Anolis sagrei: one gene and its partners. The protein of the gene in region 1 interacts with the protein of each later gene in a pairwise test. Links are inferred from orthologs where the notes say so. Each region holds a gene or a part of one and is shown on either strand. Other genes may lie near its edges.

Region 1 (7,671 bases):
AATAAATACAATGATAATGAATAGATTGACATGAATATAACAAATATAATAATAAATATACAATAATAATTACAATATATAATACAATAAATATTAAATAATATAATAAACATTAATGAATATAATAAATAGAATGATCTAATATGATAATAAATATAATAATAAATAGAATGATGATAAATATAATAAATATAATATACCGTAATAATTATAATGTATAATATAATATAATAAATATAATATTAATGAATATAATAAATATAATAAATATACAGTAATAATAAAATGTATAATACAATAAATATTAATGAATATAATACATATAATATTAATGAATAAATATAATGATATAATATGATAATAAATATAATAAATATACAGCAATAATGAAATATATACTACAATAAATATTAAATAATATAATTAATATAATATTAATGAATATAATATATATAATGATCTAATATGATAATAAATACAATAATAAATAGAATGATGATGTATATAATAAATATAATATACAGTAATAATTATAATGTACAATACAATAAATATTACATAATATAATCAAAATAATATTAATGAATATAATAAATAGATTGATCTAATATGATAATAAATATAATAATAAATAGAATGATGATAAATATAATATACAGTAATATAATATAATAATATAATTATATTATACTATATAATAATATAATATAATATAATATAATAATATAAGTATAATATAATCAATATTAATGAATATAATACATAGATTGATCTAATATGATAATAAATATAATAATAAATAGAATGATGATAAATATAATAAATATAATATACAGTAATATAATATAATAATATAATATAATTATATTATACTATATAATAATATAATATAATATAATAAGTATAATATAATATAATCAATATTAATGAATAAATAGATTGATCTAATATGATAATAAATATAATAATAGAATGATGATAAATATAATAAATATAATATATAGTAATATAATATAATAATATAATATAATTATATTATACTATATAATAATAATATAATATACTATATTATAATAATATAATAAGTATAATATAATATAATAAATATAATATTAATGAATATAATAAATATAATAATAATCTAAGAAATATAATATAATAATAAATATAAGAAATATAATTTAATCTAATCTAACAATAATATAATAATATTAATACTAGCAATAATGTCCCCAAAAACAAATGTTACGACTAAATCGGGCTTGCCTTGGTCGCTGCAATTCATTGAAAGCAATGACTCACGGCGACTCAAAGGTAAACCATAAACAACATCCTATTTTCCTTGGGTCACTTCTGGATGCTTCAGCTCATTCGCACGGCCGGCCGGCCGGGGATTTATCAAGTTGCATCACACGAGGAAGGAAAGAAAGGAGAATCACAAGAATGCCTTGGGAGCCGCTTTCGGTTGAATTTCAAGGCCGCGCCAGCATCTTCCCCATTTTTGGACTATTTTGCAAAATGCAGGAATTTCCAAGCATTCGGCAGCTTTCGGTTTTTCCATTTCGAAATTGCTTTTCTAGCATTTGCATGGCGTACGGTGACCCCATTAATATAATAATAATAATAATAGTTATTGTTGTTATTACTTTTGAAAACTTTTCCTACCTCGTAACATTGATTTACAAGGACATGCAAGCTGTGCCCCTTATAATGGAGAGAGCGAAAGTAACTTCTCTAAAACCCTATGGGACAGCCAAGGTTTTTCCCCTCCATCCTGGTGCCTCGCACTAGGTAAAACTCACAATTATTAACTGCCCCCCCTGCACACTCGTTTTTAAATACTTGGTGCTTCATTGGTCTTTTACACAATTGTTGTTGTTGTTGTTGTTGTTATATTTATTTACACACTTCTGTGAGCCTTCCCTTATATGCAATCCCTTTGCACAATCCTGGTGCACACTCACCTTACACTTCCGTCAACTCTTCTCTTGTAGATAATCCCTTTGCACAATCATAGTGCACACTCTTCCATTGACCCTTCCCTTGTAGACAAGCCTCGTGCACAAATCATAGTGCACACTCCCCTTACTCTCTTCCATTGACCCTTCCCATGTAGACAAGCCCCTTGCACAATCATAGTGCACACTCCCCTTACTCTCTTCCATTGACCCTTTTCTTCCTGTGCACAATCATAGTGCACACTCTCCTAAAACTCTTCCATTGACCCTTCCCTTGTAGACAAGCCCCTTGCACAATCACAGTGCACACTCCCCTTACTCTTCCATTGACCCCTCCCTTGTAGACAAGCCCCATGCACAATCACAGTGCACACTCCCCTACTCTCTTCCATTGACCCTTTTCTTCCTGTGCACAATCATAGTGCACACTCTCCTAAAACTTCCATTGACCCCTCCCTTGTAGACAACCCCCTTGCACAATCACAGTGCACACTCCCTACTGTCTTCCATTGACCCTTTTCTTCCTGTGCACAATCATAGTGCACACTCTCCTAAAACTCTTCCATTGACCCCTCCCTTGTAGACAACCCCTTGCACAATCACAGTGCACACTCCCTACTGTCTTCCATTGACCCTTTTCTTCCTGTGCACAATCATAGTGCTCATTCTTCTAAAACTTCCATTGACTCTTCCCTTGTAGACACCCCCTTGCACAATCATAGTGCACACTCCCTACTCTCTTCCATTGACCCTTTTCTTCCTGTGCACAATCATAGTGCACACTCTCCTAAAACTCTTCCATTGACCCTTCCCTTGTAGACAAGCCCCTTGCACAATCACAGTGCACACTCCCCTTACTCTTCCATTGACCCTTCCCTTGTAGACAAGCCCCATGCACAATCACAGTGCACACTCCCCTACTCTCTTCCATTGACCCTTTTCTTCCTGTGCACAATCATAGTGCACACTCTCCTAAAACTTCCATTGACCCCTCCCTTGTAGACAACCCCCTTGCACAATCACAGTGCACACTCCCTACTCTCTTCCACTGACCCTTCCCTTTCCATGCACAATCATAGTGCACACTCTCCTAAAACTTCCATTGACCCTTCCCTTGTAGACACCCCCTTGCACAACCATAGTGCACACTCTCCTAAAACTTCCATTGACCCCTCCCTTGTAGACAACCCCCTTGCACAATCACAGTGCACACTCCCTACTCTCTCCCACTGACCCTTCCCTTCTATGCAACCCCTTTGCACACTTCCCTTTCACTCTTCTGTTGACACTTGTAGAAGACCCCCCTTTGCACACTCGTTGTTGCACGCTCACCTTGAGGTTGACAGAGGGGACCTCCATGGTCCTGGGCTTCCTTCTTGACTTTCTTTCTCTTTCTTTCTCTTTCTTTCCTTTCCTTTCTGGTCAGACCCGGGTTCTGCTTTGCTTTGCTTTTCCGCTTCTGCTTCTCTCTGCCTGGGGCTCCTCCCCACAGCCAGCCTCATGACTCCTTCCCCAGAAATTGAGCAAAAAAAGCCACAGCAGAGAAACTCCTCCCTCCACTCCTTCCTTCCTTCCCTCCAAGGGAAGAGGACTCACTCTGCAAGTGTAGACAGGAGGGGAACCTTAATGCGAATTAAAGCCCCCCCCCCTGGTTCTGGGTTTGAGTGCAGACAGAGTGACACTCTCTCAGCCTCAGGAAAGGAGGGCATCACTGACATGCTAAATAATATTAAATAATAATAATAATAATAATAATAAAAAAAATAGTATAATATTCCCATTTCAATAATAATAATAATAATAATAATAATAATGCTAAATAATATTAAATAATAATAATAGTATTATATTTAATATTATAATATAGTATAAAATAGTATAATATTCCCATTTCAATAATAATAATAATAATAATGACATTAAAATATTAAATGATATTAATTAATCGTAATAAATACTAAACTACTCCCATTTAAATTCTAAATAATATTTAATAATAATAATAAATATAATATTTCCATTTCAATAATAATAATAACAATGACATTAAAGTATTAAATATTAATAGTAACAAATACTATACTAGTCCCATTTAAATTCTAAATAATATTTAATAATAAATAAATATAATATTCCAATTTCAATAATAATAATAATAAACAGTATACTATTCCCATTTAAATTCTAAATAATATTTAATAATAATAATGAGGATGACATTAAAATATTAAATGATATTAATTAATAGTAACAAATACTATACTGTTCCCATTTAAATTCTAAATAATATTTAATAATATAATATTCCAATTTCAATAATAATAATAATAATGACATTAAAATATTTAATAATATTCCCATTTTAATTATTATTATTTACAATAATAATAATAAACAGAATACTATTCCCATTTAATTCTAAATAATGTTAAATAATAATATAGTATTCCAATTTCAATAATAATAATAATAATGACATCAAAATATTAAATGATATTAATTAATAGTAATAAATACTATACTATTCCCATTTAAATTCTAAATAATATTTAATAATAAATAAATATAATATTCCAATTTCAATAATAATAATAATATATAATAATAAACAGTATACTATTCCCATTTAAATTCTAAATAATAATAATAATAATAATATAATATAATATTCCAATTTCAATAATAATAATACTTAATAATAACAGGATAATATTTCCATTTCAATAATAATAATTTATAATAATAATAAACAGTATACTATTCCCATTTAAATTCTAAATAATATTTAATAATAATTGTACAGAAGTGTTTATAATAATATGCGTATAACTGTATTTATGTTTGCATTGGTTGCCCTAAGGCTGGAGCGGCCTAGCTGTGAGAAATGTGTTACCATGGAAACGAGGCAGAAGAGGAGGTGGGAGGAGCTTAGAGAGTAAAGGTTTTAAAAAGTGACAGTTAGAGTCAGTCAGGGGAGAAAGACTCTGAGAGAGCAGCAGAGTCAGTTTTAGACTCTGAGGAGTGAAGAAGTGAAGAGCCAGGTTTTAGTGTTCGTGAATAGTAGAGATTTCTTCAGCTGGACCTTAGGGAAGGCTGAGCGAAGGAAGATCGATGCTTTTGAGCTGTGGTGCTGGAGGAAAGTGCTGAGAGTGCCTTGGACTGCGAGAAGATCCAACCAGTCCATCCTCCAGGAAATAAAGCCCGACTGCTCACTGGAGGGAAAGAGACTAGAGGCAAAGTTGATGTACTTTGGCCACATCATGAGGAGACAGGAAAGCCTAGAAAAGACAATGATGCTGGGGAAAGTGGAAGGCAAAAGGAAGAGGGGCCGACCAAGGGCAAGATGGATGGATGGCATCCTTGAAGTGACTGGACTGACCTTGAGGGAGCTGGGGGTGGTGACGGCCGACAGGGAGCTCTGGCGTAGGCTGGTCCATGAGGTCACGAAGAGTCGGAGACGACTGAACGAATGAACAACAAGGAAGCTGAAGGGGAAAACCTTGTTAGTTGCTTTAGTTAGAAAGAACTAACAGAGGCTTGCTAGGATCGCTAGTCGGAGAAAGACTGGAGATCTGTGATTTGATCAAGTATAGATCAAACAGAAAGACCATTCATTGCAGGGAACACTGGTTAATAAAGCGCTTCACCACAGCAAGAGTTCATAAGTTGTAACATCGAAAGTCTGAATTGTATCGCAACCAAGTTACATGTAACCATCAAGTATTTGCCAAGCTTAACATCTTCATACTGCAACCATACGCTTTGTTTAAAAATAAACTTGTTCTCTTTGGTTTTTAAAACTGCCTCATCTCCATTAATTCTACGTTCGGTGCACCCACTCTACCAAAATTACCTCACAACACAAACAGAGCTTTAATACCAGAGCCTTTTACAAATCAGTGGCTCCTCTCTCCTAAATCTAGGCGCTTCCTCACTAGTCGGTAGCGTCTCTCTACAATTGGGTGGCAGCTTCATTACCAGTGGCGGAGGTTCTTTACAATAATAAATATAATATTCCAATTTCAATAATAATAATTTATAATAATAATAATAATAAACAGTATACTATTCCCCTTTATATTCTAAATAATATTTAATAATAGTATAATATTCCAATTTCAATAATAATAATAATGACATTAAAATATTAAATAATATTAATAGTAATAAATACTATACTATTCCCATTTAAATTCTAAATAATACTTAATAATAATAGTAGAATATTCCAATTTCAATAATAATAATAATAATAATAATGACATTAAGTATTAAATATTAATAGTAATATATACTATACTATTCCCATTTAAATTCTAAATAATATTTAATAATAATAATACAATATTCCCATTTAAATAATAATAATAATGATATTAAAATATTAAATGATATTAATTAATAGTAAGAAATACTATACTATTTTCATTTAAATTCTAAATAATATTTAATAATAAAAATAATATTTAAATAATAATAATAATATATAATAATAATAAACAGTACACCATTCCCATTTTTAATTCTAAATAATATTAAATAATAATAATAATAAATATACTTTTCCCATTTAAATTCTAAATAATATTTAATAATAATACAATATTCCAATTTCAATAATAATAATAATAACATTAAAATATTAAATGATATTAATTAATAGTAATAAATACTATACTATTCCCATTTAAATTCTAAATAATATTTAATAATAATAATAAATATAATATTCCAATTTCAATAATAATAATAATAATAATAATAATATATTACAGTATACAATTCCCATTTAAATTCTAAATAATATTTATTAACAATAAACAGTATATCTCCATTAAATTCTAAATAGTATTAAATAGTATTTAATAATAATAATAAATAATATTAATATTTCCATTTACATTCCAAATGCTATTAAATAATAATACTAAATAGTATAACACTGCCCTTTAAATTCTAAATAATATTAAATAATAATAATAAATAGTATAATATTCCCATTTAGATAATAATAATAATAAATATAGTAAAAATAAATAGTATAATATTCATGTCGAACCATGAGGACTAGAAACTTAATTCTTTTTTAGGATCCGAAAGCCAAGAAGGAAGACAAGCCGGTGTGTGCGAAGGATAGCTATCTCTTTATTTATTTACAAATAGGAAACAGGCCTAAAAGGGGGGACGGGGACGAGGGGTCCGCACTGCAGAACTGAAGCAGAACTGAAGTGGTTTGGTTCCTCTGTGCGGACGGACGGAGGGGCGGACGAGGCCTAGGTGGCCATGAAGGAGCCCCGGTCGGGGTCGGCCGAGCCCGGTTCCAGGCAGCGGCCCCTGCGACGCGTCACTCGCCGGTTGCGGTGGAATTTGGCAAAGCAGCGCAAGCCTGGAAGGAAAGAAAGAAGGAAAGAAGGAAAGAGAAAGAGAGGAAGAGTGACAAAAAGGAAGCATCCCCAGAAGAGACGGAGGAGGGAAGGAAGGAAGAAGGGGAGGATGGATGGAAAGGTAGACAGATGGGTGAAGGAAGGATAGAGGGATGGAAGAAGGGGTAGATGAATGGATAGATAGATAGGTGGATGAATGGAGAGAAGAAAGGAAGGAAAAATGGATGGACAGATGGATGGATGAAAGATAGATGAATGGATGGATGTAGGAAGGAAGGAAAGATGAAATATGGATGGATGGATGAAAGAAGAAAGGAAAGATGAAGGAT
Region 2 (8,050 bases), on another chromosome or scaffold:
TCATGATGTGGCCAAAGTACTTCAACTTTGTCTCTAGTATCCTTCCCTCCAGTGAGCAGTCGGGCTTTATTTCCTGGAGGATGGACTGTTTGGATCTTCTCGCAGTCCAAGGCACTCTCAGAACTTTCCTCCAACACCACACACACACACACACACACACACATATGGTGGTGGGGTGGGGGTTGCACCATACATTGTAATGCATTTTTTATTTTTATTTATTTGGCTTTTTAAGCCTCTTCTGCTGTGTCTTTCAGTGTTTTTATGAGTGATGGTCACTTGTTGGCCTGATAGGTGTATTGTGTCCAAATTTGGTGTCAATTCGTCCAGTGGTTTTTGAGTTATGTTAATCCCACAATTTTCCCTGATTTTCCAATAAAAGTCTCACCAAGTTGAAGAAAATGCCACCGAGACGCTGGCCCAGTTGGGCAACCAGGAACTGTGGAACTCCCTGCTGCAGGTCAGATCGGTTTCAAGCCAGGGGCTCCTGGCTGGCACGCCATTAAAATAACCATTGGAGAGCCCTGTAATTACACATAGTTCCAGAATTAGACAGATGCTGTTAATGTTAAACAAAAGGGAAATGGGTGAGGTTCTTGTACCCTGTTCTTGTATATCCCATGTTTGTCCTTTCACTTCTGTATAGTAAATTTCTTTCTGAAGCATTTTGTGCCTACTATTGGAAAAAAATATTCTCATTTATTTAAGACATGTATATCACATTTCTTTCTAGCAGCTCACTTAAAATAATGAGTTTGAACTGCTGGCAGGAATGATTTGCTAATAAGAGCTGTCTTGCACATCATGCTGGAATGTTGCATAAGAAAAATGAAAGCCAGCCGAAAAGCACTGTATTTTTCAGCTTCAAACTTTGCTCAAAAGATTGCCCAAGAATGGCTGCGGTTGATAAAGCCTCATTTCACCTTGTCCTTATGCTTTTTTCTCCCCAGAGCAATGTCAATGGCTATTTTCTTCCTGTGTGTGAGTCCTTGGATCTGGCCCAATACAAATAAGACAAATATATTTTAAAAAATCTCGCCATCTGTTTACATGGCACTTTTCAGAGAACAAGTTTGTCAAGTTCCTGTCTCAGGGGACTTTGCAGTTTATAAATAGATGCACAGGAGGGGAAAACCAGTCAGAAGAAGGGAAACAGTCTGGTTGAGGTTATCAATGATTACGGTATTTCATTTACAAGTATGTTAAGTGCGAAGTGGGATTTTTGGGAAATAATGGGGCTCCCTCTTGGAAGCAATTCCAAATATTAAGGCACATTGGGGAAGAAGTAGCAGAGTTGTTTCAAGGAACAAGAGAACTGATGGCTGAGGTTGATAAGGCTTATTGGCTGATGTTAAGGGATGTGCTGGGCGGAAAACTAAATCCAGGGGAAAATGGAATGATTAAGGATATTTTTTTCCTCTCTTACATTGCCATATAATACAGATTAGCAAAGCAGTTTTTTTTTGTCGTGTCAGGATCGACCTGAGAAACTGCAAGTCGCTTCTGGTATGAGAGAATTGGCCGTCTGCAAGGACGTTGCCCAGGGGACGCCCGGATGATTTTGATGTTTTGTCATCCTTGTGGGAGGCTTCTCTCATGTCCCTGCATGAGGAGCTGGAGCTGATAGAGGGAGCTCATCCGCCTCTCCCCGGTTTCGAACCTGCGACCTATCGGTCTTCAGTCCTGCTGGCACATGGGTTTAACCCACTGCGCCACCGGGGGCTTCAGCAAAGCAGATAATCCACATTCTCTACTTTGAACAGGATTATATGAGTCTACACTGCCATATAATCCAATTCAAAGCAGATAGCCTGGATTTTATATGGCATTATAGAAGGGGCCTCAGATAATCCAGTTCAAAACATATAATGTGCATTACCTACTTTTATAATCTGGATTATATGGCAGTACAGAAGGGGCCTCAGATAATCCGGTTCAAAACATATAATGTGCATTACTTGCTTTTATAATCTGGATTATATGGCAGTGCAGAAGGGGCCTGTGTCCCTTCCAACTAAGGCCCCTTCCACACAGCTGAATAAAATCCACATAATCTGCTTTGAACTGGAATATATGGCAGTGTGGACTCAGATAACCCAATTCAAAGCAGATATTGTGGGATTTTCTGCCTTGATATTCTAGGATATAGGGCTGTGTGGAGGGGCTCTTTGTGTTGCTCTGGATTCCTTTGCTGGTGATCTGTGTATCATCATGAGATTCCCCCCTCCCCTCCCCAATGACTAATTTACATTTGCTTGAATGCTTCTGGAGATTGAGATTCCAGAGCTGCCAATTTCATTATCATTTATCAAGATACACTTCTTTGTTATCAAGACATTCCTCAGGGCAGTTGCAGCAGATTTATGTATGAAACACCTTACCCTGCAGGCCTGAAAAATGATTTGTTAAGATAATTGCCAGTGTGGTCTGAATTACTAGTGACTGATTCATGTAAAAAAGAAAGATGATTTGGGGTGCATCCAGGGTAAAGGTAAAGGTTTTGCCTGACATTAAGTCTGGTTGTGTCTGGCTCTGGGGGGTGGTGCTCATCTCCATTCCTAACCAAAGAGCTGACGTCCAGAGACACCTCCTAGGTCATGGGGCCACGGAAAACCATTACCTTCCCGCCAAAGCAGTACCTATTGCTCTACTCACATTTGCATGTTTTCAAACTGTTAGGTTAGCAGAAGCTGGGGCTAACAGCGGGAGTTCACCCTGCTCCCCAGATTCAAACCGCCGACCTTTCATTCCGCAAGTTCAGCAGCTCAGTGGTTTAACCCGCTGCGCCACTTTCTACACTGTGGAATTAACACCACTGTAGCTGCCATGGCTCAAAGTTAGGGAATCATGCACCAGCACCAGGCCCATAGCCAGGATTTTGTTTCGGGGGGGGGGGGGGGGCTGAATTTTTTCAGGGGGGGTTTCGGGGGGGGGCTGAGTTTCGGGGGGCTGAGTCTGAGTGAAAGAGGGTCTACCCTAGCAAACCTTTTGTATCATTACCCCAATAACCCCATGCATATGGGATATATTGAGTATGGTGATCAGATCATGATATGAATAAACATAACAGTTTAAATAATGCACCAGTAAGGCCTTTTCGCGAACCACCATCAGAATTTCGGGGGGGGGGGGGGCCTGAAGCCCCTCAAGCGCCCCCCCCCCCCCCGCTACATGCCTGACCAGCACTATTTGGCAGAGAAGACGAAGGCCCCTTCTACACTGCCATATAATCCAGATTATCAAAGCAGATAATCTACATTATCTGCTTTGAACTGGATTATATGAGTCTACACTGCCATATAATCCAGTTCAAAGCAGAGAATCTGGATTTTACATGGCTGTGTAGAAGGGGCATAAGTGCAACTCCCAGGATTCCCTTGGATTGAGCCATGGCTTTCAAAGTGGTATCAATCTGGATTAATTCCACAGTGTAGATGGAGTCCCGCAGTGGTTACCCTTTCAACACTGTGAGCTGCTATTGAAGTATTTTCACATTGCTAATTTCACGTGTCGAGATTGATTTAACCGTCGTGATCGTATTTCCTTCTATTAACCTGCACAATGTTTTAGTGGGACTCTCTGCCCCGGAGTGTGGTGGAGGCTCCTTCTTTGGAAGATTCCTCTCACCTCTTCAGGAGTCTACCGTATACCACGCAGCTGTGGACAAGTCTACATAGGGACCACCAAACGCAGCGCCCAAACAAGAATCCAGGAACATGAAAGGCACTGCAGACTACTCCAACCAGAGAAATCAGCCATAGCAGAGCACCTGATGAACAAACCTGGACACAGCATTTTATTTGAGAACACAAAAATGCTGGACCACTCTCACAACCACCATGTCAGACTACACAGAGAAGCCATTGAAATCCACAAACATGTGGACAATTTCAACAGAAAGGAAGAAACCATGAAAATGAACAAAATCTGGCTAACAGTATTTAAAAAATTCTAAAATTGCAACAGCAAAAACAGCAGGGAGAAAAACAGGCAGGGACATCTAATCACCCTTCAAGAAGAGTTTGCTCCAGGCACAGTCAGCCCATTGTATGCTAATCAAGGTGGGCAGTTGAAAGATTCACACCCAGCCCAACTTACAAAAGCCTTTTGTCTCACCCTGGTCATTCCACAGATATATAAACCCCTTTTTTCCCAGCTCCAGCAGACCTCACCTCTGAGGAAGCTTGCCATAGATGCAGGCGAAACGTCAGGAGAAATGCCTCTAGAACATGGCCATATAGCCCGAAAAAACCCACAAGAACTTTTAAACAGAGGTGGATGGCCATCTGTCAGGAGTGATTTGAATGCAATATTCCTGCTTCTTGGCAGGGGGTTGGACTGGATGGCCCATGAGGTCTCTTCCAACTCTTTGATTCCATGATTCTATGCTTTTACATTCATACTGTTTGGAACGACTTCTGGTTTCCCTTATGCCAGTTTCAACTGTTTGGGTTTTACTCAATGGCGTGACATTGGTGTTCGGGAACACCACTAAAATCATCCTTTGATATTGATGGTGTCTGACTACAATTTGCTTCCACTTTGCTCACTGGCTCCTGAGCAGGGACATGCTGTTTTGTTTAAAAGGCTCGCATTCTTTGCGGTGCCATTTCCCTATTGGCCGGATGGGGCCATCCTTCCTGCTGTGGCTGCTGATGTCAGAGCCACTCTCTTTCACACACCCTTCCTAAGGTTTGCTGCTGCTGCAGAGACTTCTCAAGGCAACCAGATACAGATCCTTACTACAGGCTGTGGTGGGGAAACCCAGCCCCCAGGAATGATCAAAGGTGGGAGGAAGAGCCAAGGCACATCCTGTCTCTTTCCCTTCCAGTGCACTAATGCTGGAGGTTGAAGTACAGTAAGGTGAACAGAACCTTGTTTACCCATCTGGGAAGGAAACCTTACAAAGCCTTTGTCTTGGAAGTCAGCAGCATCTCATCTCTGCCGCTGGCTGATCCAGTCTCCTGCCACTACTGCTGATACTACCATACCATCTTGGACTGCTTCAGCTATTTTTACTTATTTTTTTCCCCTATTGCTCCAAGAATGTCTTGATAGAACTGCGAGGAAATTCCATCTTTTACAAGGTTTCTCGTGGATTCCTTTGAATTCACAATGAGAGCAGTTTATCTTTGAGACTCCTTTGTGTTTGTGGAAAAAAACCACATGACTACATTTTGAAGCAGAAAAATAGGAAGATAGAAGAAATAGGATTTTTTTCCTCTCTCTCTCTCTCATTCTCCCTTTTGCTGGATCAGCTTTCTAGATAGTGGCAGCGGCACATTGCACATACGCTGTCAGGCACACGTACTGCAGGGTGCTGGTGATCTTGGCAATTTTAATATTTTTTGAATATATATATATATCTCAGAGTGCACTGTGATCACATTTCTCCTGGATTGCTGTTTTGCATTGAATGTGTAGGAATATGCTCATGAAGGAGTACCGGATCTGTATGCCTTTGACAGTTGAAGAGGTAAGTGCATTGGCTCCTAATACACTGTGCCTTCCTTAACTCTTTCTTTCCTGCATGTGACCAAAAATGAGCGGATGAAATGCAATTTTATGCTGTGGGATCTTTCTACTGTAATTTAGTAAATTTAGTAAATCATAGCTTGCTTGCAACAGAAAATATGGGCAAAATGAACACAATTACATGGTAGTTGACTGTGTCAGAGGTTTTCTAAAGGTATATATACCAGGCATGAGCAAACTTGGGCCCTCCAGGTGTTTTGGACTTCAACTTCCACAATTCCTAACAGCCGGTAGGCTGTTAGGAATTGTGGGAGTTGAAGTCCAAAACACCTGGAGGGCCCAAGTTTGCCCATGCCCGGTATATAAGCAAACTTAAACATCTGGAGTCATTTGTCATGGCTGATGTGGGCTCAAATTAATGTAATGAGAGTGTATGCAGGTAAACAAAACTTCAATCGCAAAAATAAGCAAAGATAATCTGTTCCCAAAATATGCTCCTTGAATCCTCCAGTGTTTAAATATATAGTTTTGTTTCTCGAGTTTTGCTTACCTGATATTCTCAGTTGGCTTACGCTCTCTTTGTCACATTTTTAATGTGGTTTTTTTAGCATATTTTTCTGAAACAATGTGCCATCTACCTTGTGAATACTACAATACATTTCTAAAACTCTCTACTGAGAGTGGCTGCTGAAGAAACAGATAAAACAATATAAAAGTGAATATAAAGATCATGGTATTTCACACGCAGAAGATGGAATCAGTTACAGTTTTAATGTCTTATGAACTACCTTCTGAGAATAAACTTTGGATACTATCCACATCGGGTCAACTCCTCTCTTGTTTTAGGGCAAGTTGATTGTTCCTTGACTTTAGAGAAGTCTTGACAACAAATTGTTGTGCTTTTTTTTTAATGGCGATCTAGTCAAAATCCTGAAAGTTTCTTTTCTGCTATAATTTTGGGTAATACACAAAATGCATTCAGTTTCTTTTCTTATTGTTTCAAACATACTTCAGTCCACAAGGTGGAGCTTTGGACATGTTTTTCCATTGAGAGTTTTGTTCCTACCTTGTGCTTGATAAGAATACCACAGCTGGATTGCTTGCTGCAGATGTCTAACTGGAAAGGTTAAATATACAATTGCATTGCATAGAGCACACATTGGAAACCTGGTGGTTCTGAGGACTTGTAATGTTTTTGCTGTTACAAGAAAAGTGATACAATGCACGAACGCTGTCTTTCAAAATATGTTTTTATTTAAATGATAACACAGAAATGCAAATGTCAATATCCCAAGGCATTCTGTTTTGGGTTGTTGTAGGTTTTTTCGGGCTATATGGCCATGGTCTAGAGGCATTCTCTCCTGATGTTTCGCCTGCATCTATGGCAAGCATCCTCAGAGGTAGTGAGGTCTGTTGGAACTAGGGAAAAGGGTTTATATATCTGTGGAATGACCAGGATGAGACAAAGGACTCTTGTCTGCTGGAGCTAGGCGTGAATGTTTCAACTGACCACCTTGATTAGCATATAATGGCCTGACAGTGCCTGGAGCAAACTTTTGTTGAGAGGTGATTGGATGTCCTTGTTTGTTTCCTCTCTGTTGTTGTGCTGTTGTGATTTTTGAGTTTTTTAATACTGGTAGCCAGATTTTGTTCATTTTCATGGTTTCCTCCTTTCTGTTGAAATTGTCCACATGCTTGTGTATTTCAATGGCTAGATGCAGGCGAAACGTCAGGAGAGAATGCCTCTAGACTATGGCCATATAGCCCGAAAAAACCAACAACAACCTAGTGATTCCGGCCATGAAAGCCTTCGACAATACATTTTGTTTTGATCTTATCTGCTTAATTCCTACCCATAATTCAGTGCCTCTTGAAATAATTGCTAATCTTTGGGTTGTGAACTAGCAAATTGTTCCTTTGAATTGTTGTACATGTGTATTTAAGTGTACAGTTAATTCTCCCTTCACAGTTCATGATTATCATTTCCTTGGCAGCCAAACCGTCCCTCTAGTTTTTAAGATGTATTCAGATAATTGCATAGAAATTGGTATTTAACAACTAATAATAAGGTTACACCATTTGTTAACGTGTGTCTACCTTAGTCTTGTATGGAAAGTTGGCAGGTTTCAAGAACACCCTCTAGGGCAGTGTTTCTCAACCTTCCTAAACCCGCGACCCCTTAACACAGTTCTTCATGTTGTGGTGACCCTCAACCATAAAATAATTTTCGTTACTACATCATAATTGTCATTTAGCTACTGTTATGAATCGTCATGAAAATATCGGATCTGCAGGATGAATTTTCATTCACTGGACCAAATTTGGCACAAATACCCCATACGCCCAAATGTGAACACTGGTTGAGTTTGGGGAAAATAGACCTTGATATTTGGGAGTTGAAGTCCTAAACACCTGGAGGGCCCAAGTTTGCCCATGCCCGGTATATAAGCAAACCTAAACATCTGGAGTCATTTGTTTGGAGTTGCTGGGATTTATAGTTCATCTACAATCAAAGAGATTTCTGAACTCCACCAACGATGCAATTGAACCAAACTTGGCACACATGTCTCCTATG
Region 3 (7,954 bases), on another chromosome or scaffold:
CTGCATCTTCTTCTGCGATTTCCAGTAGTTCTGCTGTCATTGTTACGATGATTTTTCTTAGGTCTTCTTGTGTCTCTTCTTGTATATTCCGGAATCTTAGGAAATATTCTAATTCTTTCTGTTCAGCTTGGTCTAGTTTTGCTTCAATCTTCTCCTCTCTTATTTCTATGTCTTCTAGCTTGCGGTTGATTTTTTCTTGTGTTTCTTCCAGTTTAGCTACATCTAATTGATTTTTTCTCATTTCCTGTCTCATGGCATCCATTTCTTTTTTCATTTCTCCCAGTTCGTTTGTGATTTCTTTTCTCATTTTTACCATTTCCTCGGTCAAATCGTTCTTAAGTCTCATTCTTTGATCTTCTGCAACCTTTTGATAGGCATCTTGTTTCTCTTGATTTGCTTCTTGTTGCTCCAGTATCTTCTGTATTTCCTTTAATATCTCTTTTCCTGTTGGGTTGCCGGATACTGATCCTCTTCTTTGTTCTGTTGGTTCAGTCTTTTCTATTTTATCAGTTTTGTCAGTTTTTTCGATTTTATCTGTCTTGATCTTGGGTGTTGTCATTTTTAGCCAGTTCTTCAAAGCTCCTCTTATATATATTTTGGCCTCCGTTTTGGTAAGTTTGAACCTATTTTCGTAGGCTTATCTGGGAGCAGTATATCTGAGGTTGCAGTTGTTCTGTATTTTTTTTTTGTATTTATTTTCCTGTTTGTGGTTTTTTTTATTTTATTTTATTTTATTATTATTATTTTTTATTTTTTATAATATTCGGTTATTATTGTTTTGTTATTATTATTGTTATATATGTGTGTATATAAGTATATGTATTGTTTTGAAGTTTGGAATATATGACAGTGTATCTTGAATCTGCTGTGTCTGTTGGTGTCTGCTAATTCCTTCCTTGTTCCTGGATTCTTGCTCTTCTCTCGTTTTTCTATACTTTACTAGCTCTATCTTAGGTTCCTTGTTCTTTGTTCTTTATTAGTCTCGCGATTCCTGCCTCTCTAGGTTTTCCTGTCTTTCGTTTTACCATCCTGTGGGAGGCTTCTCTCAGGTCCCTGCATGGGGAACTGGAGCTAGACAGACAGGAGCTTACCCCGCTCTCCGGATTCAAAATGCCAACCTGTCGGTCGATTAGTCCTGCCAGCAGGAGGGTTTAACCCATTGTGCCACCGGCGGCTCCTTGGCCATCTCCAAAAGACTATGGAACGACCTGCCAGAAGAGATTCAACAGCTAAATCAGCTGTTGGGATATAAGATACAGCTGAAGACCCATCTCTTCTGGCAGGCCTATCCAGTCAATTTTAAATGGGGAATTTTAACTTGCATGTTATTGGTATTGGTGTTAGTCTTTGTTGTGTGCACTTTAATATGTGTATTTTATAGAACTATATTTTAATATGGGCATTTTATTGAATGTATTCTATTATAATATACTAACCGTCCCCTGCCATGTGTTGCTGTAGCCCAGTCTGTGTATATGTGTTTTGTGTGTCCATTTGTGTATATGTGTGTTTGCATATATATGTGTGTGTGGTTTTGTGCATGCGTTGTAATGTAATTTTTGTTTTTTGATTTTTAAAGTCTCTTTTGCTGTGTTTTCCAGTGTTTTTTTGTGAGTGATGGTAACTCATTGGCCTGATAGGTGTATTGTGTCCAAATTTGGTGTCAATTCATCCAGTGGTTTTTGAGTTATTTTAATCCCACAAACAAACATTACATTTTTATTTATTTAGATATGTGTATATGTGTGTGTTTGTGTATGCATTGTAATGTAATTTTTGTTTTTTGGCTTTTTAAGTCTCTTCTGCTGTGTCTTTCACTGTTTTTATGAGTGATAGTCACTCGTTGGCCTGATGGATATATTGTGTCCAATTTTGGTGCCAATTCACCCAGTGGTTTTTGAGTTATGTTACTCCCACAAACGAACATTACATTTTTAGTTATATAAATTCTGTGTTATGATCAAATGATGTGAATGAATAATTTTTGTATCACTACTATTATTGTTGTTATTATTGTCACGTTGTCCATTCATCCTGTGGTCTCTGGTCATTCTGCCTTCCCTCCCACAATCAGGTATCGCTGTAATGGTCTATCATACATATTTGAGCATTATCGGATGTGCATCACAAGCCTGTATGATGAGCCATTTTGTCCTATCTGCAGGTTTACACCTATTTGGTATATCAGCGTCATCATCCTTATTCTGGAGCCCCCGGTGGCGCAGTGGGTTAAACCCCTGTGCTGGCAGGACTTAAGACTGACAGGTCGCAGGTTCAAATCCGGGGAGAGGTGGATGAGCTCCCTCTGTCAGCTCCAGCTCCTCATGCGGGGACATGAGAGAAGCCTCCCACAAGGATGATAAAAACATCAAATCATCCAGGTGTCCCCTGGGCAACATTCTTGCAGACGGCCAATTCTCTCACACCAGAAGCGACTTGCAGTTTCTCAAGTCGCTCCTGACACGACAAAAAAAAATCCTTATTCTGTGTCTGGTGGACATAGAGACTTCTGGACCAACATCAATGCTGCAAAACTGCTTTTCATAGTAGCTGTCAGACAGAATAAGAGCATGATGGCCAAGATCTTACATCCCAAAGGGGGAATGTGTATTTCCACCAGTTGTAACTGTATCCAGGCCCCAGAAGCCATGAGATCCTATTAGTGTCATAGAACGAAGGCTTTCGTTTCCCAATTGCCAAGTTTGCTCCTGCAGAATTCTGGGAAATGTAGTTTAGGGAAGCCAAGGACCTCTCTGGCTGAGAATTCCAAAGCCTTCTCCCTGGACTACATTTCCCAGAATTCTGCAGGAGCAAACTGGCCAATTGGGAAATGAAAGCCTGTGTTCTATGACACTAATGCGAACTCCTTGTGTCCTTCGCTTTCTGGCAATTCAAAGTGCACAAACTTTGATTCACGCACAAATCGATTAAGAATATTGTGAATGTATGAAATTACATACAAGCTACATGACATAAGTGAATCAATGGATTTCACATTTAGAATTAGGTCTTCCCCCCATTATGTGTGTGTGTATAGAGTGAGTAATTCTGGCCTACGATTCCCATTGCCCCTTGCGCGCATTTCTTCCTTAGGAAGCACAGCCAGCTGGCCCCGAGGAATCATGGGGGCTGTAGTCCCACCGCTCTTCTCCACTCTACGGCGACAGGGGCCGGCTGTTTGCAAAGCGGGGAAGAGGCTGCGTACCTGGTAAGCGGGCAGGAGCCGGAGGAGGAAGCAGGCGAGGGCCTCGTCGCAGTGGAAGGTGCCGCTGTGGGTCCCGATGCGGGCCGGGTGCGGGCGCTTCGGGCCCGGCATGGAGAGGCAGAAGCGGCGTGGAGCTCCGACCAGAAATCTGAGCATGCGCATAGCGAGGGAGGCCAAAGCCACGCCCCGCGGAAGGTCCAGAACCCCTGTGACGTCAGAAGCAGCCAAGAGGGCAAAGAGAACAAAAAAAGAGGCAGCGGTGGCGCAGAGAGTTAGAGCCATGCGGTCATTCCTGGCCTGCAAGGTGGCAAGTTCGCAAGTTCGAATCCCGCTGGGGACCACCTTTAAATTTGTTATTCTAAAATACACATTTAGAGAGCTATATATACCGCCCAGCGTTATAGAACGGAGACAATCGGAGTTGCTCCTGCAGAATTCTGTGAAATGTAGTTCAGGACGGAGACCTTGGCATGCACAGCTAGAGAGGTGCTTGGCTTCTTTAAACTACATTTCCCAGAATCTGCGGGAGCACGTCAGGCGCTAGACCCAGCAGGGGGCTGAGGTTCGCGCTGACGTCATGCTGAGCCTACCTAAGCCACCTGGGCACGTTCCTATTAGAGCTAACGCTAGCAGATGTCATGGTCCTCAAACACTCTCGGCTTCATTCGGAAAAAGCTGCACTCGCAGAGCTCAGGCGGTGTTGTATTTTGGTGTCGATATTGACTTTGGTGGAGCGGTGGCTGCCAAGGTAGCGGAAATGGTCAACATTTTCTAATGTTACACCATTAAGCTGTATCAGTGGCATTGGAGAGGGATTGGCTGAAGACTGCTGGAAAGCTATTAATAAAACTATTGTCCTCGCAACCCTGCTATACGCTTGCGAGATGTGGACTGTCTACAGACGTCACATGCAACTCCTGGAACAATTCCATCAGCACTGCCTCCAGAAAATCCTGCAAATCTCCTGAGAAAACAAGCGGACAAATGTCAGCGTGCTGGAAGAAGCAAAGACCACCAGCGCTGAAGCGATCGTCCTCTACTCCGAACTCAAGAACAGAAAACTGAATGTTGGTGGGCAGGAAAAGAAATTCAAAGATGGGCTCAAAGCCAACCTTAAAAACTCTGGCATAGACACTGAGAACTGGGAAGCCCTGGCCCTTGAGTGCTGTTTTCAGCTGTGACCAGCAGTGCTGCAGAGTTTGAAGAGGCACGAATGGAGGGCGAAAGAGAGAAACGTGCCAAGAGGAAGGCGCATCAAGCCAACCCCAACCAGGACCACCTTCCACCTGGAAACGGATGCCCTCACTGCGGGAGAAGATGCAGATCAAGAATAAGGCTCCACAGTCACCTATGGACCCACCAGTACATTGCTCTTGGAAGACTACCCTACTCAGACAACGAGGGATCGCCTAAGAAAAGAAAGGCTAATGCTAGCACGTGATTACGCAGATGCATAGGCAAGCCTATGTAGAGAGCTGGAAGAAGAAACAGTAATAGTTTGATAGTGTTATACTGTTTCCGCTTTGCTCCTTCGAGAGCTCTGTTTGCGCAACGCAGAACAGAACACATGACCGAGACAGAGACTGAGGTACTGTAAGCCAGGCTGAACATAGATATTATAGAAGGAATGTAAGAGTTCTTTAATGGTAAAACCCTAACCCTAACCCTTACCCTGAGCCTCCCCTCCTTTCTATCCTTCCACCAAATGCAACTATGAAGTATATTCGTATGGCCAGCTGCGACCATACCTCGTGAAGTCTGACTTGTCCATGGTGGTCCACGCCTTAATTACCTCTAGACTGGATTACTGTAATGCACTCTACATGGGGCTACCCTTGAAGATGGCCCAGAAACTACAACTTGTCCAACGTTCGGCAGCCAGATTAATAACTGGTCGACCCCCATGTTTAAGGAGCTCCACTGGCTGCCGTTTATTTTCCGGGCCCAATTCAAGGTGCAGGTTATCACCTACAAAGCCCTAAACTGTTTGGGACCCACCTACCTTTGTGACCCTATATCCCTCCATGAACCAGCCCGGGCCCTTCGATCTTCAGGGGAGGCCCTCCTTTCACCCCTGCCAATCTCACAAGCTCATCTTGTGGGCACAAGGGAGAGAGCCTTCTCCTCTGTCGCTCCCTGACTTTGGAACTCACTACCTGGAGAGCTCAGGAAAGCCCCTACACTAGAAACGTTTAACATAAACCTTAAAACCTGGTTCTTCCGCTGCGTCTTTGGCGAGTAGGTACACAAATTGACACTATTGTTCCCCTCAACGCTTCTGTCACTGGAGTACACGCCCCCAAACGGAAAGTTTAGTTTTACCTCCCTGTGTGTCTTTATGAGCTCCCTGCAAATTACTTGCTCCTATTTTTATCTCATTAAGAGTATTTTAACGTTTTATCCTGTACATGTGGCCCACTCACTGTTACTGTGATTGTGTTTATTGTAATGTTATTTTGTTACTGTATTCATATCGGGTTTTTTTCTTATGTAATTTTGATGATGTTGCTTGTTTATGCTTTGGTTTTATTTTGCTGTAATATGTTGTTTGGGCTTGGCCCCATGTAAGCCACTCTGAGTCCCCATTGGGGAGATGGTGGCAGGGTATAAATAAAGATGATGATGATGATGATGATTATTATTATTATTACTACTACTACTACTATATTCAGTGTGCCGCTCTTCCCGCTCTCACTCCGCCCCTTCTCTGGGCCATGTGGTCCCTTTCCTTATTCACAACCACTGTTGCGGAATGTGCATAATGCTGAGCTTCCAGACCCATCTATCATACCAGTATGAAGATTCCCCGTAGTATCCTATAGATGTGAGAGCTGGACCATAAGGAAGGCTGAGCGAAGGAAGATAGATGCTTTTGAACTGTGGTGCTGGAGGGAAATCCTGAGAATGCCTTGGACCGCAAGAAGATCCAACCAGTCCATACTCCAGGAAATGAAGCCAGACTGCTCATTGGAGGGAAGGATAGTAGAGACAAAGATGAAGTACTTTGGTCACATAATGAGAAGACAGGAAAGCTTAGAGAAAACAATGATGCTGGGGAAAATGGAAGGAAAAAGGAAGAGGGGCCGACCAAGGGCAAGATGGATGTATATGGTATCCTTGAAGTGACTGGCTTGACCTTGAAGGTGCTGGGGATGGCCACAGCCAACAGGGAGCTCTGGTGTGGGCTGGTCCATGAGGTCACGAAGAGGCAGAAGCGACTGAATGAATAAACGACGACGTAGATTTCAGGATAGCTCTGGATGCAACTTCTGCATCCAAAGGGGTTTCCCCCCAAGGAAAAAGAGAATTAGCATTAATATCCATGAGAAAAGGGAGATGAGAATGTGGATCCTGAATGGAACATGATCTGCGGTGTTGATTATGTAATTCTCCCCTAACTTTTCTGACATTAAATCACTTGAGAACTGGATTACCAAAAATGAACTAGTAAAACTAGTAAAAGGGAGGAACATGTCAGCATCACCCAGTTATTGACAAGTGCATTATGGAGATATAAAACATATTTTTTAATTTTTATTTCCATTTTACTGTTTAATGCTTTAGGACAAATCCTACCATTAGTAGACCCTCAAACTAAGTGTTGACTTCACAAATCCTGTTTAATCAATGGATCTGTGCCACTTGGAAATAATTGGAGTTAGTCCCAGTGGCACAATGGGTTAATCCCTTGTGCTGGCAGGACTGCTGACTGCAAGGCTGGTAGTTCAAATTCGGGGAGCGGGGTGAACTCCCATCTGTCAGCTTCAGATTCTCATGCAGGAACATGAGAGAAGCCTCCCACAGGATGGTAAAACACGTCCCCTGGGCAACGTTCTTGCAGACAGCCAATTCTCTCACACGAGAAGCAACTTGTAGTTTCTCCCGACACACAAAAAGCCCATAATGTTTAGTATTGTCTTGCTTCAGTCTATTTGAGCATACCATCCTGAAATCCATCCACTTCTGAATCAATATAAACTATTTACATTTTAAAATATTTTTATCACAAGAAAATTGATAGTGTGACCTTATATGAATTTACTTGTTCCTCTGGACACCTCTCAGCCAAGAATGTGGAGGACTGCAGTGTAAATAAATCGCACTCAAATGATTGTGTTGTCACAAAGCAATACATGTTTATTAATAAGGTAACAGCATATTACACTTACAACTTATGAAAACAGGATTCAATCATTCCTTATCATGTCAATAAAGCTCTGGATTTTTTTTATATTATATCTTCTCTTTTATCCATTAGAAAAAAGCCCAAAGATGTACAAAGGAATAAAAAGATAGCAATCACCTCTATTCTTCATCATCAGAACTACTATAATTAAATATAGATTTGTCTCTTTAAATCATTCCACTGATTTTTTTAATATAAAGTGCATTGCATGGCCATTTAAATTACACAAGGCAACAAACAAGAGATGATTTGTGTTTCACATTTGGAAAGAAGCTACTCCTCTTGCACTGTATGTGTCTGTAGATAGATAGATACATGTTTGACGTTCACATGCAGAGTTGGGGGAAAAAATCCAGCATCTCTCAAAAAAGAGCAGCTTTCAAATGTAATTGTTCTTAAAATGTCTAAAATCTAATTGGGTTTTATAACAGAACATTGTCAACTTATATTAAATTGCTATTTACACATTGAATTAAGCCACATAATCTGGTGCAAATTGTTCAGCATAGGCGTTTCTAGCGAATTTAATGTATGGGCTAAGTATCAAAAGCACTCACCCCATT
Region 4 (8,134 bases), on another chromosome or scaffold:
CAGCCTTTCGTTCTACAGCGGCAATGATAGATAATTTTGAAACAACACTTGATTTTGGTACCGATGGGACCTTTAACTCAGGGTGCTTCCAGGCAGCACCAAATTGTGGGTTTTCCATTAGGGGCAAAAAAACCAAACCTTTCCCTATACAATCCAAAGCTCTCACATAACAGCTGGCTTAGATACTCTCATTGGAGTAGACACCAGCAACGAGGTGGCCAGCAACTCTGTGAGTGGGATTACACAGGATCGGTTTCAATGAATGCGTACTATGGATATATTTGGCTGGAATTATACAAGGGGCATTCATTAAAGATTTCCCCTGACCCACTTCTATTTATCACAGGATGCTGAAACTGCACATGTGTAAAGATATAAGTCTCTATAGCAGCGTTTCTCAATCTGGGGTTGCGACCCGGGGGGGGGGGGGGTCGCGAGAGGGTTTCAGAGGACAATTATCCATACAAAGGAGGCTGGGTCACCCCAACGAGGAGCCAAGGAGAGCGTCCCGGCGTCGTCACCCAATGCTCAAGCCACGCAGACTTTAGTACGACGGCGGCAACGATAGACAATTTTGAAACAACACTTGATTTTGGTACCGATGGGACCTTTAACTCAGGGTGCTTCCAGGCAGCACCAAATTGTGGGTTTTCCATTAGGGGCAAAAAAACCAAACCTTTCCCTATACAATCCAAAGCTCTCATATAACAGCTGGCTTAGATACTCTCATTGGAGTAGACACCAGCAACGAGGTGGCCAGCAACTCTGTGAGTGGGATTACACAGGATCGGTTTCAATTGATGCGTACTATGGATATACTTGGCTGGAGTTATACAAGGGGCATTCATTAAAGATTTCCCCTGACCCACTTCTATTTATCACAGGATGCTGAAAATGCACATATGTAATGATATAAGTCTCTATAGCAAAGTTTTTCAATCTGGGGGTCGCAAACCCTGGGGGGAGGCTGTGAGGGGGCTGCTGATGGTCTGATGGTACTGATAGTCTTTGGAACTCCCTTGGCAAAGAAAGCTGAAGATCTCTCCGCCTGTCATTCTTTTCCACCAAAAGCCCTTCTTTGCTGTGATTGGCCAGCCTCTCAGATAATGGGAGGGCTGTTTCTGACACACCATGCGAGGAGGGGAGAGCAGGTGTGCTCAGTGCATAGAAGCATGGTGCGCATGTGCAGGCGAGGGAGATCATGCAAGACTGGAGGGAGGCTCAGGCCAGCAAGACCCTTCAAAACATGGGAGTTCTGTGTGGAAAGTTTGGCCCAATTCTATCATTGGTGGGATTCAGAATGCTCTTTGATTGTAGGTGAACTATAAATCCCAGCAACTACAACTCCCAAATGTCAAGGTTTACTTGCCCTAAACTCCACCAGTGTTCACATTTGGGAATACTGAGTATTTGTGGCAAGTTTGGTCCAGATATTTCATTGTTTGAGTCCACAGTGCTCTCTGGATGTAGGTGAACTAAAACTCCAAAACTCAAGGTCAATGCCCACCAAACCCTTCTAGTATTTTTTCTTGGTCATGGGAGTACTGTGTGGCCAAGTTTGGTTCAATTCTATCATTGGTGGGGTTCAGAATGCTCTTTGATTGTAGGTTAATTATAAATCCCAGCAACTACAACTCCCAAATGACAAAATCAATCCACCCCCCAACTCCACCAGTATTCAAATTTGGGTGTAACGGGCATTTGTGCCAAATTCAGTCCAGTGAATGAAAATACATCCTGCAGATCAGATATTTACATGACGATTCAGAACAGTGGCAAAATTACAATTATGGAAGTAGCAATGAAAATAATGTTATGGTTGGGGGTCACCACAACATGAGGAATTGTATGAAGGGGTTGCGGCATTAGGAAGGTTGAGAAACACTGCATTAGGAGCAAAAAAAGAAAACCCATACCCTTCCCTACACAATCCAAAGCTCTCACACAAGAGCCGACTTAGATACTGTCATTGGAGCAGAGGCCAGCGATGAGGTGTCCAGTAACTCTGTGAGTGGGATTACACAGGAACAAAAGGCTGAAATTTCTAGTGGACATCTTGCAAGCTTTGAAAATGAGCAGCCAATGAGTCAAAGAGGAAAAGTGTGTTCCTGTGGAGTTATTCAAGTTATTCTTGGCATCGTCCTTTCTGAAGCACGCGAGGATGAGGCGGGGACGGACGGACGGACGGATGATACCGAGAGTGATTCGACATCCGGTCCTTCGGGTCTCAGTTGGGAGGGACGCTGCTTTGCCTCCATTCCTTTTGCGTTCGTCAAGGGACGGTTGAGGAGCTCAGTCATTTCAGGATGTTGTACTGGACGGAATAAGTCCCAAAATAAAAACAGTCACTGAAAACTGTGTGTTTTTTGGTACTGTTGCATTATCCAGGTGGAGGCCACTAGGAGGCGATAGAGAGGCATACGTAAAGGTTTTCCCCTGACATTAAGTCTAGCCGTGTCCAACTCTGGGGGTTGGTGCTCATCTCCATTTCTAAGCTGAAGAGCCGGTGTTGTCCGCAGACACCTCCAAGGTCATGTGGCCAGCATGACTGCATGGAGCGCCGTTACCTTCCCGCCAGAGCCGTACCTATTGATCTACTCACATTTCCATGTTTCTGAACTGCTAGGTTGGCAGAAGATGGGGCTAACAATAGGAGCTCACTCTGCTCCCTGGATTTGAACCATAAACCTTTCGGTCGGCAAGTTCAGCAGGTCAGCGGTTTAACCTGCTGCACCACCAAGGGGGGGGGGGGCTTAATAATAGGTACTGTTCCATTATACAGGCAGACGCCACTAGGGGGTGATAGAGAGGGGATAGTCCATTTTAATAATAATAAAATACTCACAATCTCTGAGGATGCCTGCCACAGATGCACGCTTAACGTCAGGAGAGAATGCTTTAGGAACATGGCCAGGCAGCCTGGAAAACACACAACAACCCAATATTTCCGGCCATGAAAGCCTTCGACAATACAATAACTATTAATAATTAATGGAATCAGAAAATACCTAATCCAAGCAATGCCAGTTCCATAAATCAAAAACAACAATTATTATTATAATACTGTTATAGAGAATGATATACACATCATCGATAAGAATAATAGTATAGAAATGTGGGCCACAATAGATAATCAACAACAACAACAGTAATATCAAATCATAGCATTGGAAGGACCAGAAGGTCCTATCAATAATAATAGTAATAATAATAATAATAATAATAATAATAACAACAATAATGTTGGAAGGGACCAGAAGGTTCAGTCATTATTATTATTACTATTACTATTATTAATGTTGGAAGGAATCAGAAGGCCCAATAATAATAATAATAATAATAATAATAATAATAATTTTGGAAGGGACCAGAAGGCCCAATAATAATAATAATAATAATAATAATAATAATAATAATGTGGGAAGGGACTAGAAGGTCCAATCAACAACAACAACAACAACAACAACAATAATTCTGTTGGAAGGGATCAATAATAATAATAACAATAATGTTGGAAGGGACCAGTAGGTCCAATCAGTAATAATAATAATAATAATAATAACAATAATAACAATAACAACAATAACAACAACAACAATAATGTTGGAAGGAACCAGAAGGTTCTATTATTATTATTATTATTATTATTATTATTATTATTATTAATGTTGGAAGGGACCAGAAGATTCAATCATTAATAATAATAATAATAATAATAATATTTTTGGAAGGGACCAGAAGGTCCAATCAATAATAATAATAATAATAATAATAATAATAATACTGTTGGAAGGGATCAATAATAATAATAACAATAATGTTGGAAGGGACTAGTAGGTCCAATCAGTAATAACAATAATAATAATAACAACAACAATATTGTTGGAAGGTTCAATCATCATCATCATCATTATTATTATTAATGTTGGAAGGGACCAGAAGTTTCAATTAATAATAATAATAATAATAATAATAATAATAATAATAATTTTAGAAGGGACCAGAAGGTCCAATCAATAAAAATAATAATACTGTTGGAAAGGATCAAAAGGTTCAATCCATAATAATAATAACAATAACGTTGGAAGGGACTAGAAGGTCCAATAATAATAATAATAATAATAATAATAATAATAATAATAATAATAATAACAATAGCAATAATAATGTGGGAAGGGAGGGACCAGAAGGTCCAATCAATAATAATAATAATAATAATAATAATGTTGGAAGGGACTAGAAGGTCCAAACACTAATAATAATAATAATAATAATAATAATAATAATGTTGGAAGGGACCAGCAAGTTCAATTAATAATAAATTTAATGCTATTAATTCAATAATAATAATAATAATAAGTTAGAGGAAAACTCAAGTCTTATTCAGTAATAATAATAATAATAATAATAATAATAATAATAGAAAATAGAGTGCAAAATTTGGAAATCAAAACGGAAAGAGAAGAAACAACAAAATAAGTAAGTAAACATCTAAAGACACAGAAAAGACATGGCACGCTGCAGTGCTCAAATATGACCACTGGAGGGAGGCAGAGAGCACGTGCCCATAGATCTAGCCAAGGGAAGAGCGCCGGCGCGGGAGGGGCAGCTTGAGAGGGGGAGGAGCCCGGGCCTAAGGCGAGCAGCCAATCAGAGCAGCGCAAGGGAGGGGGCGGGGCTTAGTTTGAACTTCAGCAAAGCAAGAGAGTGGGCGCGCCAGTTTTGCAAGAAAACAAGGTGAGTCCACTCATGTTTTCCCCTAATTGCAATTAGGAAACGTGAATTGCATGCAAATTAAGCAGCCTCCAAGCAGCAGAGTTTGGAAAAGTTTATTTACTTTGTCTTCATTGTGTATATAACCCCCTGAAACTCCATCAGTACTTGGAGTTTGTGATGTTGGGCAAGTTTACTCTGGGTGCATCATGGGTGGGGTTCAGTGTGCAGGGTAAACTACAACTCCCACTATGGTGAGTCACTGCCCTCAAACCCCTCCAGTTGGTTGAGTTAGTCATGGGGATTCTGTGTGCTAAGTTTGGTCCAGGTCCATCATTGGTGGAGGTCACAGTTTCTTTTGTTGTGGGTGAACTACAGCTCCCAGAAAGGAAGGTCAGTTTTCCCCAAACCCCTCCAGCAATCAAATTTGGGCATATCAGGTCTGTGTGCCAAGTTTAGTCCAGATCCATCAGTGTTTGGGTTCACAGTGTGCTCTGGATGTAGGTGAACTACAACTCCCCCAAATCAAGGTGAATTTTCCCCAAAGACCTCCAGTATTGTTTGCTTGTGATGGGAGCTCTGTGGGCCAAGTTTGGTCCAATTCCATCTTGTGTGGAGTTCAGAGTACTCCTTGATTGCAGGCGAACTATACATCCCAGTACCTACAACTCCAAAATGTCCAGGCCAGTTCCCCTCAAAACACACCAGTATTCAAATGCGGGCACATCGGGTACACAGGCCAAGTTTGGTCCGGATCCATCCTTGTTTGGGTTCGTAGTGTACTCTGGATATAGGTGAACTACAACTCTCAATCTCTCCAAATACCTCCAGTTATTTTTGGTTGGTCAGGGGGGTTCTGTGTGCCAAGTGAGCTCCAGATCCATTGTTGGTCTTGTTCAGAGTGCTCTTAGACTGCAGGCAAACTATACATCCCAGGACCTACAATTCCTATCAATCATGGTGACTTCTCCCCAAACCTCTCTAGTATGTTCAGTTGTTGATCAATTCTGCTTGGACATGTTTACGGCGCTCACTATAACCTGCAATGTCAAAATGGACGCCCCACACACACAAACACACACACATTTTCACTTTTATTATGTGTATTGATAGATGTATACATTCTTATTCTTATTCTTATTATTGCTAGCTTTACCCACCACATGTTGCTGTGGCCAACCTTCCCTCCCTCCCTCCCTTTCTTTCTTTCTTTCTTTCTTTCTTTCTTTCTCTCCTTCCTTCCTACTTTCCCTCCCTCCTTCCTTCCCTCTTTTTCTTCCCCTTGTACTTTCCCTTCTTTCTTCCTTCTCTACCTGTTTCTTTCCTCCCTTCCTTTGCTCTTTGGTTCCATCTTTTCTTGTCTCCTTCCTTCCTTCACTCTCTCTTTCCTTCCTTCTGTCATTTTTTATTTCCCTCTCTACCTTTCTTTCTTCCCTTCATTCTCTCCTTCCCTCTTTCTCTCCTTCCTTCCTTCCTTGCCTCTTTTTCTTCCCCTTGTACTTTCCCTTCTTCTTTCTTCCTTCTTACCTGTTTCTTTCCTCCCTTCCTTTGCTCTTTGGTTCCTTCTTTCCTTGTCTCTTTCCTTCCTTCCTTCGCTCTTTCTTTCCTTCCTTCTCTCATTTTTTCTTTCTTTCTCTCCTTCTTTCCCACTTTCTTACCTTCCTTCTCTCATTTTTTATTTCCTTCTCTCCCTTCCTTCTCTACCTTTCTTTCTTTCCTTCATTCTCTCCTTCCCTCCTTCTTTCCCTCTTTCTTTCCTTCCTTCTCTCATTTTTTATTTCCTTCTCTCCCTTCCTTCTCTACCTTTCTTTCTTTCCTTCATTCTCTCCTTCCCTCCTTCTTTCCCACTTTCTTACCTTCCTTCTCTCATTTTTTATTTCCTTCTCTCCCTTCCTTCTCTACCTTTCTTTCTTCCCTTCATTCTCTCCTTCCCTCTTTCTCTCCTTCCTTCCTTCCTTGCTTCTTTTTCTTCCCCTTGTACTTTCCCTTCTTCTTTCTTCCTTCTTACCTGTTTCTTTCCTCCCTTCCTTTGCTCTTTGGTTCCTTCTTTCCTTGTCTCTTTCCTTCCTTCCTTCCCTCTTTCTTTCCTTCCTTCTCTCATTTTTTATTTCCTTCTCTTCCTTCCTTCTCTACCTTTCTTTCTTTCCTTCATTCTCTCCTTCCCTCCTTCTTTCCCACTTTCTTACCTTCCTTCTCTCATTTTTTATTTCCTTCTCTCCCTTCCTTCTCTACCTTTCTTTCTTTCCTTCATTCTCTCCTTCCCTCCTTCTTTCCCTCTTTCTTTCCTTCCTTCTCTCATTTTTTATTTCCTTCTCTACCTTTCTTTCTTTCCTTCATTTTCTCCTTCCCTCCTTCTTTCCCTCTTTCTCTCCTTCCTTTCTTCCCCTTCCCGTGTATATTTGCTTTGTGTGTGTATATATGCATATATGTGTGTTTATATTTGTGTATATATATGTGTTTGCATAGATATGTGGTTTTGCGCATGCATTGTAATGTGTTTTTTTTTTTTGTTTTCTGGCTTTTAAAGTCTTTTCTGCTGTGTTCTTCAATGTTTTTATGAGTGTTGGTCACTCGTTGGTCTGAGAGGTTTATTGTGTCCAAATTTGGTGTCAGTTCATCCAGTGGTTTTTGAGTTCTGTTAATCCCACAAACAAACATTACATTTTTATTTATATAGATTATTATTACTCTATGTTTCTCTCAACTGAGATGCAAAGTGGTCCCAGTGGTGATCAGCACACTGGGTGCAGTGCCTAGACACTTGGGAAGTGTCCGACATGTGATCCAATACAACAGCCAGCAGAGTGATCTTGTCTGCTGTGGACTCATCTTGTTGTGTTTCTAATAATAATAATAATAATTGGCACACTGGGTGCAGTGCCTGAAGACCTTGGCCTGCACTCAAGCACAATCAGCGCTGACAAAATTACCATCCGTCACCTGCCAGCTGGAAAAGGCCACCCTACTGGGATCTGCACGCATTATTTGCCGATACATCACACAGTCCTAGACACTTGGGAAGTGTCCGACGTGTGATCCAATACAACAGTCGGCAGAGTGTCTGCTGTGGACTCATCTCGTGGTGTTTCAGATGATAATAATAATAATAATAATAATAATAATAATAATAATAATAATAATAATGTTTTTCTATAGATTGTGACCTAAGGCAGCTATTATTAAGGTAAAAGTAGTCCCCTGACATTAAGTCCAGTCATGTCTGACTCTGGGGTGTGGTGCTCATCTCCATTTCTAAGCCGAAGAGCCAGCGTTGTCCGTAGACACCTCCAAGGTCATGTGGCCGGCATGACTGCATGGAGCGCTGTTATTAGGGACCAGAAAATAAATCAATATTTTTATTTTATTAATAATAATAATAATAATAATAATAATTGAGTACTATTTTTGGTACTAATGTTGG

Evidence for each region.
Region 2: the proteins of AGTRAP (region 1) and PITPNC1 interact in binary tests that used the Homo sapiens proteins (3 or more experiments, as listed by UniProt). The two-hybrid records come from large-scale screens. The link is inferred for Anolis sagrei from reciprocal best matches to the Homo sapiens genes AGTRAP and PITPNC1.
Region 3: the proteins of AGTRAP (region 1) and MYG1 interact in binary tests that used the Homo sapiens proteins (3 or more experiments, as listed by UniProt). The two-hybrid records come from large-scale screens. The link is inferred for Anolis sagrei from reciprocal best matches to the Homo sapiens genes AGTRAP and MYG1.
Region 4: the proteins of AGTRAP (region 1) and PIMREG interact in binary tests that used the Homo sapiens proteins (3 or more experiments, as listed by UniProt). The two-hybrid records come from large-scale screens. The link is inferred for Anolis sagrei from reciprocal best matches to the Homo sapiens genes AGTRAP and PIMREG.

What each region holds. Positions count from the first base shown.
Region 1 is NC_090033.1:10,224,722-10,232,392, forward strand, and holds the start of AGTRAP (type-1 angiotensin II receptor-associated protein), read right to left. Parts: upstream 3,480-7,671; 5' UTR 3,318-3,479; coding exon 3,291-3,317; intron 1-3,290. Other genes in the region: draxin, read right to left, coding at 7,232-7,344. UniProt on the Homo sapiens protein: Appears to be a negative regulator of type-1 angiotensin II receptor-mediated signaling by regulating receptor internalization as well as mechanism of receptor desensitization such as phosphorylation.
Region 2 is NC_090022.1:180,382,033-180,390,082, reverse strand, and holds the start of PITPNC1 (cytoplasmic phosphatidylinositol transfer protein 1), read left to right. Parts: upstream 1-4,634; 5' UTR 4,635-5,416; coding exon 5,417-5,476; intron 5,477-8,050.
Region 3 is NC_090022.1:190,944,781-190,952,734, forward strand, and holds the start of MYG1 (MYG1 exonuclease), read right to left. Parts: upstream 3,503-7,954; 5' UTR 3,488-3,502; coding exon 3,206-3,487; intron 1-3,205. UniProt on the Homo sapiens protein: 3'-5' RNA exonuclease which cleaves in situ on specific transcripts in both nucleus and mitochondrion. Involved in regulating spatially segregated organellar RNA processing, acts as a coordinator of nucleo-mitochondrial crosstalk.
Region 4 is NC_090031.1:28,578,116-28,586,249, forward strand, and holds the start of PIMREG (protein PIMREG), read left to right. Parts: upstream 1-4,661; 5' UTR 4,662-4,737; intron 4,738-8,134. UniProt on the Homo sapiens protein: During mitosis, may play a role in the control of metaphase-to-anaphase transition.